Coturnix japonica: one gene and its partner. The protein of the gene in region 1 purifies or fractionates together with the protein of each later gene. This does not show direct contact. Links are inferred from orthologs where the notes say so. Each region holds a gene or a part of one and is shown on either strand. Other genes may lie near its edges.

What was found. The genes of interacting proteins can lie anywhere in the genome.
Region 2: the proteins of NEUROG3 (region 1) and C1QBP purify together in Homo sapiens (affinity purification with mass spectrometry; 3 studies listed by BioGRID and IntAct, counting the BioPlex papers as one, with this or other methods). This does not show direct contact. The link is inferred for Coturnix japonica from reciprocal best matches to the Homo sapiens genes NEUROG3 and C1QBP.

Annotation. Positions count from the first base shown.
Region 1 is NC_029521.1:8,931,529-8,934,006, forward strand, and holds NEUROG3 (neurogenin-3), read left to right. Parts: upstream 1-1,395; coding exon 1,396-1,956; downstream 1,957-2,478. UniProt on the Homo sapiens protein: Acts as a transcriptional regulator. Together with NKX2-2, initiates transcriptional activation of NEUROD1. Involved in neurogenesis. Also required for the specification of a common precursor of the 4 pancreatic endocrine cell types.
Region 2 is NC_029534.1:2,454,438-2,458,087, reverse strand, and holds C1QBP (complement component 1 Q subcomponent-binding protein, mitochondrial), read right to left. Parts: upstream 2,465-3,650; 5' UTR 2,417-2,464; coding exon 2,206-2,416; intron 2,116-2,205; coding exon 1,965-2,115; intron 1,884-1,964; coding exon 1,793-1,883; intron 1,593-1,792; coding exon 1,497-1,592; intron 1,258-1,496; coding exon 1,135-1,257; intron 926-1,134; coding exon 776-925; 3' UTR 514-775; downstream 1-513. Other genes in the region: ATP-dependent RNA helicase DHX33, read right to left, coding at 3,080-3,388.

The DNA.
Region 1 (2,478 bases):
ATGTCACAATGCCGCTGTCCCGTCCGCCAGCAGGTGATGTCTGCCCCCGGCCCCGTGATTAATGCTTCCCAAAGCACTCCACTTTACAATCTCTTGTAATTATTTATTAAACGAAATCTATTTATTATTATTTTAGCAAACAGCGGTACCAGGTGGGGCTTTCTTTCCCTCTCCAGCTTTTGTTTGAAGGACGTTTGAAGTGGGCAGTCTGAGCCTTGCAAACTCGCTCGCCAGATTTTTTTGTCATCCAATTGCACAGGCACAAAAAAAAAAAAAAAAAAAAAAAAAAAAAAAAAAAAAGGCCCCTCCGGGTCCTCCCTATTCATCCCCCGCCGCCCTCTCCTCAGCCCCTACGCGAGGGCCGCTCGGGGCCGCACGCCCCCACCCCTCGGCCCCGCTCCGCCGCTCCCCGACCGCCGCCCGCGGGGGAGCGCAGCCGCCACGCGCCCCTGGAGAGCCCCAGCGCCCCGCGCCGCCTCCCCCCCGGGCACGAACCGCGGCCGGGGACCGCGGGCGAGCGGAGGGGAGAAGAAGGCGGGGCCCGGCCCTGGGCAGCGCCCCCCGCCCCGGCGCGGTCCGGCACGGCCAACGGCGGAGCTGTCGTCCCCGTGCGGGCATCGCCGCGCCGTTTTGGTGATGGAGCAGGGGGCTCCCGCCCCACCCGGACTGCGCCCCGAGGCCGGACCCGCCCGCCACACCCGAGGGCTCCGTGCTGCGCGGGGGGCTCCGGCCCCGCCGTCCGTGGTCCCGCGCACCGCGCCGGGCGAACGAGGGCAGGGAGGGAACAGCTCCCCGCCGCTCGCCGCCGTCCGTGCGCAAAGCTCCGGAAGCATTTTGCGCACCGAGCCCCGGCGGTGGGGCTGCCCTCCCCGGGCCAAGCGCGGGGCCGGCGGGGCTCGGGGGGCCGGGGACACTTCGGGGGGACCCTTTCCCGGCGGGAGGCATCCCTTGTTTCCCGGGGTGCGGCGGGAGGGCGACGGGAGCGGGCAGCAGAGAGGGCTCCCCCTCGGCCTGGCGCTGGCGATCGGAGCCTGGGGGGCGCGGGGCGGGAGGGGCTGCGGGGGCTCTCGCTCGGCCGGGCCGGGGCTGCGGGCGGTGCCGGGCCGGCACGCTCCCGGCGGGCTGATAAGATAAAAGCGTGCCAAGGGGTGGGTGCGGGCGGGGGGGCGCGCACGCCGCCCGACCGGGAAATCCCCATTGTCTGCCAGCCCTATATATAGGGGCTTAACGGCAGTCGTGTGCCGGCCGTGCAACCCGTGCTGCCCGCGCTCAAGGGACTGCACGGGGCGGTCGCGGAGCCTTCCCCGAGGGAGTGCAGGTGCAGTCGTCGTCGTCGGGGCGCAGCGGGGCCTCGGGGCCGGCTCCCCGCGGGCCGACGCCGCTCGGCTTCGCACGATGGCCCCTCAGAGCGACCGCACCCCTGGCGCCGGGCAACCCTACTTCGGCGACCCCGACGCCTCCGCATCCCCGGCCGCGGGCGGCTCCGCGGGCACGGGCAGCCGGGGCGCGTCCCCCGCCCGCAGCGCGCTGGCCCCGCGGGAGGCGGCCCGCAGGAAGGGGTTGGGGAAGGCGCGGCGCGGCCGCGGGAAGGCGCGCGGCGAGGGGCCGCTCAGCAAGCAAAAGCGAAGCCGGCGCATGAAAGCCAACGACCGGGAGAGGAACCGCATGCACCACCTCAACTCCGCCCTGGACGCGCTCCGCAGCGTCCTGCCCACCTTCCCCGACGACGCCAAGCTCACCAAGATCGAGACGCTCCGCTTCGCGCACAACTACATCTGGGCGCTCACGCAGAGCCTACTCTTGGCCGAGCAGGGCTTACCCGAACCTCCCCCGCCGCCGCCCCCCGCCGCCGTCGCCGCCGCCACCTCCCCCGGGCCCTGGGGCTCGCCCTGCCCCGCCGCCCCACCGCCCGCTGCCCCGCGCCGCGGCCCCGCCGCCTTCCCCTCCTTTCTCTGAGCGCAGCCGGGCCGCTCTCCGGCGCTGAACAGCGCCCGAGGGTCTCTTCGCGCACCTTGCGCCGGGGGCGACGGCTGGGCCCCCGTCCCTCCCCGTCCCGCCTGGCGAAGCAGGACCTGGGTCGGGCGGGCAGGCACAAATCACGGTTTTGTACTCGGAAACGGTAAATTATATTAATTTGTCGCTATCTGTATTTATTGATTATATTTCGTAACAAATATATATTTTGTATATAAGAGTATTTTTGGCAGCGGTGGTCCGTATGTTTGTACCGCTGAAGGGGCCGCGAATGTATTCTTTTTCTTATTATTTTTTAGTTACTATTGGAAGAAGAGGAGAATAAAGTGTGTCGCGGTCAGACCTGTGCAACCCGCTGCTTTCCTTTCCAACAAGATCTTTCAATATCGCGCGCAGTACGCGCCTGGGAAGACAGCGCCGGCCGCGAGGAGGCCTGAGCACTGTGTGTGCTCAGAGCAGCTCAGCGGGGTCCTGCGCCCTTGAGCAACCCTCCGTGCGCCCTCC
Region 2 (3,650 bases), on another chromosome or scaffold:
ACAATCTTACCCACTACACTCAGGACTATTAAGTATTGCCCTGGAATCAACAGGGAGGTTGATCAATAGTCACAAAGTATTCTGCCTCTTCTCGTTGTTCTGTCCTTGGCTGCCTTCAAGCTGAAATAAGAGGCAGCTCTTTAATGCATGGCTGCATGGTGCGGGAGCATCTCCTGCTCTGCCACTGGGGCTGACTCAGACCTTGAGGCATCACCTGGACGCAGCAGGTTGAGTAGAAGCCCAAATCTGCTGCTCTGCAATGCTGCTGATGTTCAGCATCCACAGGACTTGAATTACTGCAAGGAAAGAGCTCCAACTTGTCTGCAGTATTTTTCTAGAGCAGATGCGTTGATACTAACAGGTACAGATGGACTAGATTGGGCTAGAATAGCCCTGGAGAAAAACTGGCCTAACACTGCCCAGCTCTGCAGGCAGCTGCATTAACTTCTCAGGTCAGGGAACACACAGATATCCCTTATGGCAACTGATCAACATGAAGAAAAAAACAACTACTTTTCAGGGAGTTTTGAACACATTTTATTATTCACCTTCATTCCTAATGGTACAAAATGCAGCAGGGGGAGGCAGGTCCAGACAGTCCTGTTTGAGAACCTGAGCTGGGCTGCAACGTAGCATAAATACAAGTGAGGCCCCTCACTGTCCCGTGATGCTCAATTCCCAATTCAGTTACTCCATCTCTGTTGTGAAGATACGTTGTGGTTCTGCTGGTGGAGCACTGCTGTGTAATGCCCACACTGAACGCTGCTTTCCTTCCCTACTGACATTTAACAAAGCTTTTAAGGTCTTCAAGGAATTTAATGTACTCCTGATGCTCCAGCGCAGTGCTGAGCTCAATTAACTCATCAGCAAACGTGTTATCCACTCCTCGGTCAGCCAGGAAATCCATTAAGTGATCATACAGAGCCTGCAACAAGGAACAGAAAACAGCCTTAGCAGAGCACAGCTTCAAATCCTACTTAACTACTGCAATACAATTAGGCTTGTGGGCTCCCCCCTTGTTCCTCATAGAGCTGGTGCTCCTGCTTGGTGCCAATAGCTGCCATATCACCTCCAACAGGGTGAGCAAATGATTCATGATGGAATAGGAGTACAATGTAAATCAGCAGCACTTACCCAGTCGAGGGAATCCGTATTGAGGGTGTAGTTGGTGTCCTTCCAATCTGATTCCCCGGTGGGCTGGAAGCTGACCTCCCTAATGGTGAAGATGTCACTTTCTTCCTCTCCCTCGTGGCCAACCTGAAATAGGAAATGAGGCACAGGATGTATTAGCTGTAATTAGAGGGAACCATCAGCTGCTTCATCCTGCAGGTGGGAACACAACCCCCTTAATGCCACACATTGAGCTGATCAGAAGGTCAGGACATGAGCAGAAAGAAACCCATCCCATCAGTTTCCTTACAGAGATAAAACCTGTGTGAGGAGAAAAGAAGGAGGCAGCATTTTGTGCAGACACAGGAACCCAGAGCACAGCTCACCTCATCCTCGGGGTAATGGCAGTCAAGCACGAGGGTCTGCTTTGTATCATCCTTAATGACTTCCACAACAAAGTTTGGAGTCGATGTGATATCGGGCTGAAGGAGAGAAGCAGCCGATCAGTGCTGAGGGCTGAGCAGGAGCCAGCACAGCCACGAGGTGCCCGCAGTGCTCAGCAGGGGGTGGGATGGTCCATGGGGGTCTCCCAGGGCCGTCCTGCTCTGTGTGTTCCCACTCCCAAAATCAGACTGAGCACACGGCGGCCCTTTGTGGTCCCCTGGCTCTGTGCTGTGCTCACCTCCTCCTGCTCCTCGTGTTTCTGCTCCTCCGGCGCGTCCTCATCCACAGCGGGCGGGATGCTGTTGTTGATGTTGAAGGTAACCGTGATCCTGCACAAAGGACACGAGTTAAACCATCACAGCCGGGAAGGCCCCGCTCGCATCGCTCCCGTTCGTTATTTCATTGCTCACTTTTCCCCGGCGACTTTGCGCACCAGCCTCGCCTCGGTGCCGTGCACCTCCAGCTCCCACCCGCCCGACACTTTGGGCAGCGCTTTGTGCTTCTGGATCTTCCGCTCCTCCTGGATCTCATCCGTCAGGAACTGAGCGAACGCTTTGTCCCCTGCGGGGAGAGAGAAACCGCTCAGCACCGGCACCACCCCCCGCATCCACCCCCACCTCCATCACCACGTGCGGCTCCGTCCCGACTCACCCTCCGTGTGCAGCCCGCCGCAGCCGCAGGACACGCCGCCCGCAGTTCCCCGGCGCGGTCTGAGCAGCGCCGCCCTCCAGCCAACAACAACATCGCTCCGCTGCCACAGGGAACGAGCCGGGAGCGGCTGCGGGACGGACCAGAGCGAGCGGAGCGGGGACAGAGCGGGGCGGAACGAGGCGGCGGAACGAAGGGCTCGAGCGAGCAGCATGGCGAGAAACGGGACGAGGAGGAGGAGAATGACCCGGACGGGATCGGGGCGCTTCCGGAGCTCCGCCCCCGGTAATAAGGGGAGGGAACGAGATACAACGCGGAGTGACCTTGGGGGAGAGACCAGAAGGTTCCAAAGGAGGAGCCGGGCGGGGGGAGCCGCGCTGAGCAGCGCTCCGAGCGGACAGATGAGGCACCTCCATTCTGACAGTGAAACAGCACTTTGATTTTGCTCCTTGTATGTAGAAATTTATTTATTTGTCTTTATTTTCCATCGGTAAAACCTGCCCGGAACACAAACTGAACCATCAACAAATAGAGAGTTTGCTGCAGGAGCTGCTGGGCTCGTTTCCTTCCAGCCCCATCCATTACAGCTCAATGTTAAACACCAGCACAAAGCAGGTCCCGTTTTACACAGCAGCTCTTAACACCACGATGGTTCAAAGCCACAGGTTGCCATGAGTGCTGCCTCTCACAGAGAAGCCATTTTCCTCCCAGTTTTACACCTGTTTGCGATGCAAAACCCCGCTGTCCCTGCACAGATCACAGCCCAGCCCTGCACTGAGCCCTGCACTGAGCCCTGCATTGAGCCCTGCACCGAGCCCTGCATTGAGCCCTGCACTGAGCCCTGCACTGAGCCCTGTATTGAGCCCTGCAGCCCCACTCAGTTCTTGGCTGCTCTGAGTTTCCTGCGGAAATAGTCAGGTGCTGCATCATACAACCAGTCCGCGTCCACCACGCACAGGTCCCGCATGTAGCACTTGTTGGTGTGCAGCAGCCCGTTGTAAACCACGCAGCAGGGTTTGCAGTGGAACAGCACGGACGAGGGGTGGATGGCCACGGGCTGGTGGGAGCTGACGGTGCTGTAGGTGCCGTCCGGCTGCAGCTCGGCCGCGTTCATGAAGAGGCTGTGAGCCAAACAGCGGCGGATGTTGGAGGTGTCGGAGCGGGACGACTCCATGGGCAGCGATAACTGCAGGGACACAGACACGAGGCAGCAGGTCACAGCGTGCAGCACAGACACGGGCATCCCAACACATCTAACACTGCGAGCACAGCTGAGCCAGGAAGCACAGAGCACTTCCCTGCACTCCCTTTGACAGCCTCAATCCATAAGACAGGGACCATAAGCCCTACAGCACTGAAGCACTGCCCCAGCTCCACTTGCAGGCTCTAAGAATCCCTCCTGCTTGTGTGAAGGCAGAGACGGGCTGTGCCTGGGTTGGATCCATGCC